Arabidopsis thaliana: one gene and its partners. The protein of the gene in region 3 purifies or fractionates together with the protein of the main gene of each other region. This does not show direct contact. Each region holds a gene or a part of one and is shown on either strand. Other genes may lie near its edges.

Evidence for each region.
Region 1: the proteins of PRXQ (region 3) and PSBQA fractionate together in Arabidopsis thaliana (co-fractionation; one large-scale study listed by BioGRID). This does not show direct contact.
Region 2: the proteins of PRXQ (region 3) and PSBQ-2 fractionate together in Arabidopsis thaliana (co-fractionation; one large-scale study listed by BioGRID). This does not show direct contact.

What each region holds. Positions count from the first base shown.
Region 1 is NC_003075.7:11,332,608-11,336,419, reverse strand, and holds PSBQA (photosystem II subunit QA), read right to left. Parts: upstream 2,019-3,812; 5' UTR 1,975-2,018; coding exon 1,698-1,974; intron 1,329-1,697; coding exon 1,030-1,328; intron 932-1,029; coding exon 833-931; 3' UTR 647-832; downstream 1-646. Other genes in the region: ATK1 (kinesin 1), read left to right, coding at 2,536-2,580, 2,888-3,109, 3,212-3,356, 3,440-3,549, 3,647-3,766. UniProt on the Arabidopsis thaliana protein: Required for photosystem II assembly/stability and photoautotrophic growth under low light conditions.
Region 2 is NC_003075.7:2,670,891-2,674,950, forward strand, and holds PSBQ-2 (photosystem II subunit Q-2), read right to left. Parts: upstream 2,354-4,060; 5' UTR 2,281-2,353; coding exon 1,983-2,280; intron 1,746-1,982; coding exon 1,450-1,745; intron 1,302-1,449; coding exon 1,203-1,301; 3' UTR 1,010-1,202; exon of another isoform or gene 894-1,009; intron 829-893; 3' UTR 633-828; downstream 1-632. UniProt on the Arabidopsis thaliana protein: Required for photosystem II assembly/stability and photoautotrophic growth under low light conditions.
Region 3 is NC_003074.8:9,522,690-9,527,015, reverse strand, and holds PRXQ (Thioredoxin superfamily protein), read right to left. Parts: upstream 2,292-4,326; 5' UTR 2,210-2,291; coding exon 2,006-2,209; intron 1,552-2,005; exon of another isoform or gene 1,543-1,551; coding exon of another isoform or gene 1,528-1,542; coding exon 1,387-1,527; intron 1,295-1,386; coding exon 1,205-1,294; intron 1,112-1,204; coding exon 893-1,111; 3' UTR 609-892; downstream 1-608. Other genes in the region: AT3G26070 (Plastid-lipid associated protein PAP / fibrillin family protein), read right to left, coding at 1-112; AT3G26050 (TPX2 (targeting protein for Xklp2) protein family), read right to left, coding at 2,775-3,005, 3,086-3,214, 3,323-3,425, 3,576-3,647, 3,748-3,809, 3,888-4,326. UniProt on the Arabidopsis thaliana protein: Thiol-specific peroxidase that catalyzes the reduction of hydrogen peroxide and organic hydroperoxides to water and alcohols, respectively. Plays a role in cell protection against oxidative stress by detoxifying peroxides.

The DNA of each region.
Region 1 (3,812 bases), on a different chromosome or scaffold from region 3:
CACCGGGGACTCACTAAGTCAGCGAGTTGCCGACGACGGCGACGGAGAAGTAACCGGGAAAATGGCGCGGGGAATTAGGGCAGACGAAGACTACAAACACACGTGCAAAACATAAACATGGGCCTCTTTGAGTATTTAGGCCCAATTTAAGTAAAATCGCTGCCACATCAAACCAAGCTTGGTTTAAGTATTGGTTGTTTTCGGTTAGTCTATTTTCTTTTTGATTCGGTTTTGAACCTTGTTTCACCATGGTGGAGATCTCCAATATAATTTTTTACTTAATTTTCATAATTCGTATTTTATGAGAATGGAATTCAATATAGTGTAGAAGTATTAAAATAAACCAATGAGCTTCCACGAATAGATCCATTTAGTTTGTCTAAAGTAAACAATGTTAGCTTAAACCCTGAAATAGATGGAAAGTTTTGTTGTAACTTGTAAGACACTAGATTAAAAATGTACAATTTTGATTTTCAACAGAGTTATTTAATACTATTGGACAATCTATAGTGAAATTAAAGCTAGAAATGTTTTATTCAAATTCAATTCGTTATTTTGTAGTTTCAATGAAAGAGTTGATCCATTTTATAATTCACCCTAATACTTTGGTGTTGTCATTTATAAATGAAACTGAATTAAGAACTGTACGAATAGACTTTATGTTGTTGTTTGCTAAATCACCATGCAAACAAAGCTAACGCATACTCAAGAAATTGCCATTACTTGGTGAAAACGTGAAACATAAATTCAGATTCACGAATTTGAGTCTAAAGTACTCAAGAACAAAAACCAAGAATAATAATTTACAAGAAAAATGCAGAAATTAAAATGCTTAACCAAGCTTGGCAAGAACTTCGTTCAAAGCAGAGACTGTCTCAGCATAGTACTTCTCAGCCTGCGAAGGACTCTTCTTCTTCGCCGCATAATCCAGCTGCCGGAGAATCAATCATAAACAAACTTTCGATCAGACAAACAAGAAACATTACAAAATCTTGATAGATGGTGATCGAAGTTAGATGAGAAACTTACATTGTCGATGGTATCGAAGAGCTTGGTGGTGAGATCCTTGAGTGACTTCTTCTCATCCTTGGGTTTGGAGGAAATGATTGTGTTAAGATCATAACGAAGATAAGAAGCCTTGGAACGAAGATCGTTTTGAACATATGGCCAAGCTTTCCTGTCGATCAATGGCTTCACATTTATGATATCCTTTGCAGATTCTTTGGCTCTAGCTGCAGCTTCTGTTGGTGGCAATGGCTGTAAGTAAAACCTGTCTTTCAATGCCAATGCAAAGTCTCTTGCTTGGTCTGAGTTATCTGTCCCAGCTGCTCACCAAACAAAACAAATTGTTGTCACCTCATAAAACATAAAACAATGTGTAAGTGTTATATATCTACCGTCGTATGTCATATAGAGATCGAGTTAAGTGTGTTTATACCAGAAAAATCGATATAAGAACTAACTCGAACACATGTTTGCTTGCTTATTATGAACTCTAACCCAAATCCGAATGAAACATTCATACACATGCTTGATTATTATGGAGTCTCTTATATTCTTATACAAAAACATCCACATTTAAAGACTACATTTTATGGTTTTTTCATCTACATAACTTAAATCACGTTTAAATTCCTAATCTCATTAACAATGAGAATGAATATCATATTGGAAGATTAGTTTGTTAGTTAACTTACGAAGGCCACCGGAAGGAGCTGGAGGAGGGCCAACTTTGATCGAAATAGCATCGGCGAGGACAGCCTGAACAAACGAGCCACCAGCTAAACCAGCAGCAACAAGCCCAATCACGGACCGGCGAGAAGTCTCCTCACTCTGCTGAGCTCTGACGACAAGTCTAGACCTTTGAGCCACCGCCACTCTTCCAGAGCCATTCAGACGGCTGGAGCCATTGATCTTTAAGCTTCCTTCAAGAACCGCCGGAGATGCACCGTGTAATCCACCCATCGAAGCCATTTTGTTTTTCTTTCTCAAGACGAAAATTGAAGCCGATGATTATTGGTTATGCTTATATGATTGGTTGGTTTCATTCTCCGACACAGAGCGCCTTATCTGTACTTTAGATAACTTGGATATGGTTGTAGCCACTCATATAAAACCACGTGTCATTTTTGTCCGCCTTAAAGCCACGTGGCAAGATTATTTAAACATTTGGGCCGAATTGTAGGCCCAAAGTTAGCCCATATGTTTAAATACTTTATTGATTGATAACGTTATGATAATTCCAGAAGTCCGCCACATCTAATTTCAAAATCGTTCGAATTTCGAAACTACAGGCTCCTGCTTCAGTCACACACTTACACACACACAAAAATCCCCAAATTAGGAAAAAGTAAGAATCCTAGTTTCTCGACTTCGATTGAGAAGGTTTTCGATTTGATTCTCTAAGATCTTGAGAATCAATCGGAGATTTTATTGTCGGTAACCCGAATTTAGGGAGAAGACTACCATTTTGGGATTTTTATGCACTTGACGAGCGAAAGGAGAAGAAATTTGTAGCAATTTTGAGTCTCGGAGATGGCTTCTCGCAACCAGAATCGTCCTCCTCGCAGTCCAAACGCCGTAAGCTCCCTTTTTCATGCTTTTCCACTACATTTCGTCGTCACTTTTGAGTGTTCTGGAGGATGGGTTTGAGAAAAACCCTAGGACTGGTCGAATTATTAATTTCGCATTTTGGGTTTTGTTTGTGAGCTTACCAGATGAATTTATTAAGGTGTTATCTTCATCGGCTTTGCATTTCTTACTCTGATGGGTGTTATCAATAGAATTTAGAGTGGTCGTGGGTTCTGGGATTCTACATTTCTTGTAGCTGGATATTGGTTTTGTTATGAAACTGATGAAAAATCTGTGGCTTTTGATTCAATTTCAGAAAAAGGAGGGTCTCGGTGGCATTTCATTTGACAAGCGAAGGAAAGTGGAAACGCAAGGAGGTACTGGGAGAAGACAAGCTTTTTCGGCTGTGAATAAACAAGATGTCACGATGAACAGCGATGTAGGGAGCATTGAAGAATGTGGTAAAGTTGACTTTACAAAAGATGAAATATTGGCGTTGCTCAGTGAGAGAGCAAAAGCTGGAAAGTTTGATACTAAGGTATATTGATTGAGTTACACTTGCTCTGTGCTCTAAGCATTGTAGATGTTTTCATTTATGGTTTCACTCAGAAGGAGTTTTTTTTTGTCTCTGTCCCTGCAGGCTAAGATTGAGCAAATGACGGATATTATCAAGAGGCTGAAGGTTTGTGTAAAATGGTTCCAACAAGCTGATGAAACCCATGTCCAAGAGAAGGAAAATTTGAAGGTTTCTTTGGAATCTTCAGAACAAAAATACAACCACAAAGGTTATTTTCTTCTTGCGATTTTTTTACATGAAACAAGTTATTCACTCATTTGGTGGTAGTCCCTAACTTTTTGACTCTTATAGAGTTGGAGGCTAGGACAAAAGAGGAAGAGCTACAGGCCACTATCTCAAAGTTGGAAGAGAATGTAGTGTCACTACATGAAAAGCTTGCAAAGGAGGAGTCTAGTACACAGGCAAGGGTTTTGGTGCCTGGTTTTTCTAATTGTGAATGTTTTCTTTTAATGAAATTCATTACTTGACTTTGCTTTCCTCTTACTTATTGAACACTAGGACGCCATTGAATGTCATAGAAGAGAAAAAGAAGCTAGAGTTGCAGCTGAAAAAGTGCAGGCTTCTCTCGGAGAAGAACTTGATAAAGTTAAGGAAGAGAAAATGGCTGCCAAGCAGAAGGTATATAACATATGTCTTCTGGTGTTTTCTTAGGTGTTTCATTTCT
Region 2 (4,060 bases), on a different chromosome or scaffold from region 3:
AATATAGTGTATTTTAGGTTTGGTAACTGGTAAGTGTTCTTTAATTTATAGAGATCAAAGTAAATTTGGATGTGACTTCCGTTTGATAGAATCTTTAAAAGCTAATTAAAGTTTCGGTCAACCATATGACGTTTAAACCTTAAGCACATACAAAAACTTCTTTGTTGACTTATAGGACATGACAATTAAACGACCATGGTCTAACCTCCTCCTTGTCATATCATGAAATTTGTTATATCATTATACCTAATTAAAATCTAAAGTTTAGATTATCTCGCGCGTGGAGTGGGAAGAACACTTAGAAAAAGTGAAGCGATTAACAAGAAGAAGAATAAAAACTTATAAAAGTGTTAATGGTTTAAGTGTCCTCGGCCTTTGACCTAATCACACGTATATTTTTTATTATCTTCACGATCTATGTTAAAATATATTGTTCACTATAGTATGATTAATTTATACATTTGATGTATGTATATGATGTATGTATGTATGTAAAGGATAATCAGTAGTGTGTACGTAATATAGACTAGAAGTGTATGATAAATATTAATTGAACTAAACTTTAAGAAAAATCTCTATGTTACCTATTCTATATCAATTAGAAAATGAAGCTAAATTAATTGCATATCTTACTTGAATATCATGTGTCTTAACATCGATTTTCTTTTACATTCCTGACATCAAGACCTCAAAAAGACAGAATCTCAAGCCCTCATTCTGATTCCTAAGATGACAAAGTAACTTTCACATACAAATATGTTGAGGGACTACTATCTGCATGAAACTGTGACAAATGCATGGTTGTTGTTGTTATCAATCCATTAATTTCTGTATAAAAGAAAATTTGATATTAATTTTAGTTAAAATTTCCAATCAAAACTCTTTGAAAAGTTGTGGTATGTCATCTAATTTATGATGGAACAAAGGTTAATTTGATCACGAAGTTGGTGTAAAACTGATAATGGGAATGATGAGGACGGGAATGCTCAGAATCAGAACATGAACTTACAAAGTGGTCAGCTCGAGGACGAATATATAATGTTTTGCTAAAGAGCCAGCCAATATATTGGTTAAAACTTGAAACTGAAATTAGAGATAACCGATTTGATCAGACAAGAAGAGAAGGAGAAAGACAAAGTACTTGGATAGCAGTAATTATAATAACATCGACATCAACAGATTACAACGCAAGTCTTTCTTCATTAACCGAGCTTGGCAAGAACATTGTTCAAACTCGAGACAGTTTCTGAGTAATACTTCTCAGCATCTGGGCTACTCTTTGATCTCGCCGCATAGTCCAACTTCCACATAAGAAAATCAACAAAACAACAATCTCAGATTAACCCAAACTTAGGAAGAATCTTGTGCATAAAAAAAATCAATGCACACTCTAACTTCTTTACCAAGAAACCGCTAGAAAACAAAACCCTAAAGAAAGAAAAAACTTACGTTGTCAATGGTTTGGAAAAGCTTTGCGGTGAGATCTTTAAGGCTTTGCTTCTCTTCCTTAGGCTTAGCGGAGATAACGGTGTTGAGATCGTAACGGAGGTACGATGCTCTTAAACGGAGATCGTTCTGAACATAGGGCCAAGCTTTTTTGTCGATAAATGACTTAACGTTGATGATCTCTTTAGCAGAATCTTTGGCTCTAGCTGCAGCTTCTGTTGGTGACAATGGTTGTATGTAAAATCTATCTTTCAATGCCAATGAAAAGTCTCTTGCTTGGTCTGAGTTATCTGTTCCAGCTGCTCACACACAAAAAAACAAAAACAAAAGCAGAACCATAATCAATCAAACAGAACCGGTCTCTATAATCTAATTACTAAAACTTTTATCTTACAAAAGTGATTAAAGATACGTTTGATAAAAACCTAAATTATAACCATGCAAGCTATAACACAATAATTTCGTTTTGTTATCTCCTTAACCAAAAAAATAGTATTAGTCATTATGTGAAATTTAATTAAATTAGTTTTACTTACGTAGGCCACCGGAAGGAAGTGGAGGACCACCAACTTTGATCGGAATAGCTTCGGCGAAAACAGCTTTAACGAATGAACCACCGGCTAAACCAGCCGCCACGAGTCCAATCACTGACCGGCGACTACTTTCTGGTACTGACACGTTCTGCTGAGCCCTGATCACAAGTCCGGTTCTCTGAGACCCAACCGAGACTCTTGAGATGTTCAAACGGTTTGAGCCGTTGATCTGTAAACTTCCTTCAAGGACAGCCTGAGATGCTCCACGTAAGCCAGCCATCGAAGTCACTGCTTGAGCCATTTTTTTTTTATCTGCTTTGAATAATTGATTAGTGAAGTGTTGAGTTATAATTTTTGGTGTTTGGTTATGTGACAAAGAATACCTTATCTGATTCACGTTGTTACTTAGATTACTCGGATATGGTTTTAACTACTAATATGTTGACACGTGGTTTCTTGATTCTCAGTTTTGCCACATAGGATTGAGATCGAGTGTTCCCAGAATGCGATTGTCACGTGGCTGAATGACGTGGAAATTGACCAATTCGGTTAAACCTAGTCAAAGTTAATTGAAAACCGGTTTCGATAATATCTAAGCAAATTGTAACTTAAATCCAATCCAACTTGACAAATAAATGAAATCCCTTATTGTTAAAAAAAAGTACAAATTGAAAAATAGATAATTTTGGCCTCAATTTCAATTTTGGATTTTGTACATAGCCATTAAGAATAATTTGGTCAATTCAATCTATTAAAGTTTATATGATCCACATTTTTAATTTCGGGTGGGTTAGGAATAATAGTCACTTATTCACGAATTCAAATACCTAATCATGTTTAGCATCCAAAGTAGACAATCTTAACCGTTCAACAATATTGGTATCACTACTTCATTTTGGTATCTAAATATGAGCATATTTCATTCCAAAAAGAATTATAATCACAAAAATAATAATAATAAAAAAACTTATAATCACAAAAAAAATTACACCGTTTTTACTATTTTACATTTTTGTTACTACTTTACTTATATTTAAATTACATACACACATTAAAACACATTATTTTAATCACTAAATAACAACTAACCAATAAAAATCTCAATCATTATTTATAAAAATTTAAAATAAAAGAAATATTTTATAAATTTATAATATAAATATAATCAAATACTTAATTAAAAACCATATAAGATTGACGACCTGAAAGAGGATGGATCAAATGCAACTTTGATGGCTCATTCGTTAATGGAGATGTAGAAAGTAAAGCAGGTTGGGTTGTTCGGGATAGTAATGGAAGTTATCTACTGGCGGGTCAGGCTATAGGAAGAAAGGTGGACAATGCTCTGGAGAGTGAAATTCAAGCGCTAATCATTTCAATGCAGCACTGTTGGAGTCATGGTTACAAACGGGTTTGCTTTGAAGGAGATAACAAGATGCTGTTTGACCTAATCAACGGATCCAAGGTACATTTTGGCGTTCACAACTGGATACGAGACGTTCATTGGTGGTCAAGGAAGTTTGAATCAATCCATTTCAATTGGATAAGAAGACATCACAATGTTCCAGCTGATATTCTTGCTAAAGCTCCTCTCCAAAACCAATCTTTATTCCTTAATCATTTTTGGGTTCCTAATGTAATAAGCTATGCTTTACATTGTGACTACACTGCTGATTTATAAATCAATAAGATGATGATGACAAAAAAAAAAAAAAAACATATAAAACCGAGGCCCGCTGTAAACCACGGGTTGAATCCTAGTTAAAGTAAGTAATAACTCTCCAAAATTATCCCAAAATCGAATATTAACTGCGAATCAAACTAAAAACAAGAATTTGAAACTTTTAAAACCCTTCATTTTATACAAAATAAAAGAAAAATAATTTTATAAAAAGATTTAACCATAAAATAGAAACCAATTTGATTAATATCTTACTTTTTTTTCTTTCCCATAATTTATTTAGCCAACAAAAAGTCACGCAAAATATGGAATATCACTAGTGTTAATGGACCGAGTTTTAAGTCAATTGGCTCAAATGGAGCCTATACTTTATATAATAATAATTTAAATATTAATGGAC
Region 3 (4,326 bases):
ACTTTGTCGGAACGGCGAAGCCGCTGTCTGACTTCATAAGACTGCCGGAAAAATTAAATCCAGTGGCCGGAGACATTAAAGCTCCAGTCTTTAAGCACGAAGGTAAAGCCATGGATATCAGAACAGGACAAAGCTGCTTCGTTTCAAAGAGACTCTATTTAAAGACAGACACAGAAGAAGAAGAAAAGAGAGAGAGATCGTTGTAGCTCTGTCTTTGCCATGGCTGACAACATCACACACCACCACCGTTGTCAGAAAGATAAGATTTTTTGTTTCTCTCATGAAACGAGAGGCCCTCGGTGCTCCGACTTATACGACGTCATTTAATACAAATGCGTAAAAAAACAGAGCTTTGCCATATTCTTCATACAGTCCAAAGGCTCTACCTTTATTCCTGTCTATACTCAAATCAAGAAAGAAACACAATGCGAAAATAACCGTTTTAAATTTCAAATATTAGATTGAGACCACAACACTATTGAGTACTTGAGTTCACATACTAAAACTATTGTGTGAAGACTTGAGTTCTATGTATTCTACACAATTCCTTAAAGCTTTGTGTTTGACAATTTTAATCAAGGGCTAGCTAGAGTTACCTGATATGTGTACCTTACTTGAAGTGTTAATTGATACAAGAGAAAGAGATAGTAGAGGTGTTCACAATGAAAACGAGAGACTCAAATACACAGAACCAACTAACATTTTAACCACACTTCAGTACTTATCCTGTTGTGATCTTTGTACTAGACCAAAGCCAACTCCCTTCTCATTGGTATAACATGGTATTATTGAAAATTCATACTCAACAGAAACAATATAAGAAGGTCATGGTCTCATGGAGACAGACATGAGACATGCATGAAAGAAGAGAAAGAAGAGAAAGAGAGAATGATCAAGCAGCTTTGAGAAACTTCAAGGTCTCGTCGATGTGTTTCTCAGGCTGGAACTGGTTGTTGTAGATGAGCTGAACAACACCGTTTTTGTCAAGAACGTAAGTCTGTCTCCCTGGCAATGCTCCAAACAGGTCTCCAGGCACTCCCCAATCTTTTCTCACCTTATTCCCTTCGTCGCTTAACAATGTATACGGTAGTTTGTATTTGCTTGCAAACGCCTGCAACAATGTTTAAAGTCCCACCACTCTCTTTAAAATCCGGAAAAAAGAAATGGGTTTATTCAAGAAACCAGAGATTTTTGATGTGTGTACCTTGTGAGAAGCAGAGTCATCTCCACTAATGCCAATGACCTCTGCACCAGCTTTCTTGAATTTCTCATAAGAGTCTCTGAAAGCACAAGCCTGTTGTACACAAGTAAAACCATTTACGTTTAGAAACACTAAATATGCGATCAATGAATGCGGGAAGGAGGAGAAAGTAAAGATTTAACAACCTGCTTGGTGCAGCCAGGGGTTTCATCTGCAGGGTAGAAGTAGAGAACAACAGGCTTCCCTTTATACTTTTTGAGGCTCACCGGCTTTCCGTTTTGATCCTTTAGTGTGAAGTCTGGTGCAGCCTGACCCTTGTTAACCTGCTGCCCACCAAACATCACAAAGAGACCAATTCACAGAAGGTTAAAGAGAGTTCATATGCCGTGTCAGCTTAAATCATATGAATAAAGGATTGAACATATTCAAGAACATTCTAGCATTTGCTTATTTTCAGGTATGTGAAAGTTTATGGTCTCTAAAACAAACACTGATTACAAGTTTCTTTGATTTTGTCTTTGATTCTGCACTAACACATTCATAAATCTGTTCTTATAACATTTAAATTCAGACTTAAAACCCAATATTTACATCTTTTGTTTCTTATTCAAAAATGGCTGTGTATCTAACAATCTATTGTCTTGCTAATATTTATATCGTAATACTCAAAAACATATAAAAAAGAAATGGAACAGAACTTAGATTGTCCAAAAAACATTGGTCTAACAAAGAAGCTAATTCCCAGAACTAGTTGTTACCCAACTGTAGCAAACAATCTATCAATGCAAGAGTCGAGAAATGTACCTTGGCAAAGATTAAGCCTTTGAGAGAAGAGGAAGAGACTGGGGAGATATACGATGAGTGAGTGAGTGTGGAGCCAAAGAAGTTAGATTCTGATGATTTTGTGGGAACTGAAAATTGGGTTTTGGTGACAAGGGTCTTTCTCAGAGGGAGAGTACGAAGTGTGGTGTGATTACAGAGAGTGAAAGAGGAAGATGAAGCAGCCATTTTTTTTCTTTTCCTCTACAAGGACGTGATTAGAGCATGTAGTAGAAGAAAAGCTGAAGATATGGAAACATCACACAATCACAGTCCACAGAGATAAGATTTTTTCTCTCACCTCTGAAACGAGAGGCCCACACCACAACAACACAACATCACAACATCATACCAAAACGTCGTCGTTTAAAACAAATGTAAAACAGAAAGCTTTGCCATGTTCCTGTCTATACTAATTCAAGAAAGAAACACAATGAGAAATTGAAAAGTAGACATAATTCTTTATTTCAAATCTCTATGTATACAAATGATACAAGATTGATACTACAGAACTATTGAGTACATAGTTACTTTGAAGAGTAAGTAGACTTGAGTTCTATCTATTCTACACAGCTCCTTAAAAGCTTGTGGTTACACAATCTGAATCAAGGGCTAGTCACCTAAACCATAAGCTTGAGATGAGATTACTAGCTGAAGGGACAAAACTTTCGGAATCTTCAAAGTGAAAAGTCGAATCTTTACGATGATCTAGAGACTTGAAGAAGAGGAATCGATTGATCTGGTTTGTCTCTGGTTAGTTCTGAAGAATATTAGGAGACATATTTTCTTGAGTTCTTTTTGTTGTCTGCTGTTTGGAGGAGGGATGGATCTTGCTGCTTTTGTGCTTCTCCATGACTACTTTTTTGGTGTTGATGATCTTCATTGAGGAAGCTTTATGAGGAGTTTGATGAGGTTTTTTTATGTTCTCTTTTCCTGGAGTTTGGTTCCTGCGGAATCTTGGTGAAGTCAGGGTCATCGGTGTTACCTGCACATGATTATAATGTCATACATCAAAGATTCAATACCCAAATTTATGACAAGTTACAGTCTGAGAGTTGAATATACCTGAAAACCACCAACTTGTGGGTTCTTGTGTTCTTCAGATGCTAAGTTAGTGTTTTGATTTGCCTTGAAGCCGCAAGAAAATTTATCCTCTTTCTCTTTCTTGTTTTTTTCCTCTACTTTCTTGAAGAACTAACAGACAAGACACATCCACAACAAAAGAGATCTTTTTTAAACTACGGCTCTATAAGTCCTCAAATAATCTCAAAGATAAAGTAAAAGGATCTTCTTTAGTTCTACCTCTTTCCTCTTCTCTGCCCTTTCATCACTTCTGAAGACGAAGGGAGAAGATACAGTCAAAGACTTTGCTTTGGTTCTGCTATGAGTTGACAGATTTTCACAGCTGCAAAATGCATTAGACAAAAACATCTCGTCTTATGTCCACATAAATCAGGGAACTAACACAAACACTTTCAATTAACCAACTCAGGCCATTTGCAGTAAGTGACATAAGATAGTATTTCTCTAAGAGGTTGGTACTTAAACCGCTTACCCGACAGAAGGTTTTCTTTGCTCATTGTTGGATATTCTACATGAAACTGAACTCCTTACAGATATGTTTTTCCTGTATATCAGAAGAAGCAAAGTTAATTATAGGGTTGAGTTAATAATAAAGTAATAGTATAAAGCGATGAATTGGTGTTGAAGATGGTTTGATCAGTAACCTTTTGTTTTCTGATAGCAGATTACTGAGAAGAGGAAGTCTGGGTAACGTGACAGCAGAGGCCTGCAATATATGTAAGAGTCAGTCTCAGCAAATATGCTTGGGATATACGCAAGAAGAGAAACTTGGGAAGAGAATTACATTGGTTGAACCGTCTTTGGATGTCTGAGACAATGGTCTCTTGCAGCTTTTTAAAGCTCCCGTTGGTTCGTTTATCTTTGGGAAAAGTTTGTTTCTAGCATTTGTTGAAGTTGTTCCCTGTGTAGTGGAGTTTCTTGCCAGTGTTTTTGGGGCTTCTTTGGTCGTACGAAGAGTAGAAGAAGCAAAATTGAGTGACATGTGAACTGAACTTGGACCTGATCTCTTCTTCTTGTCTGCTTTCACTGCACTCCTAGAACCGTTCTGGGGCCTCCCCACAATAGTTTTCTCGGTATTACTAGAAGAAACACAGCTGATTGACATGTGAATGGGCTCAGGAGGTGATCTACTTCGGTTCTTCGATGCACTAAGTGACCTTGTACTACTCGAGGATGACTCTTTTTTAGTGTTCTTAAGTGAATGATCCAGTTCTATAACAACG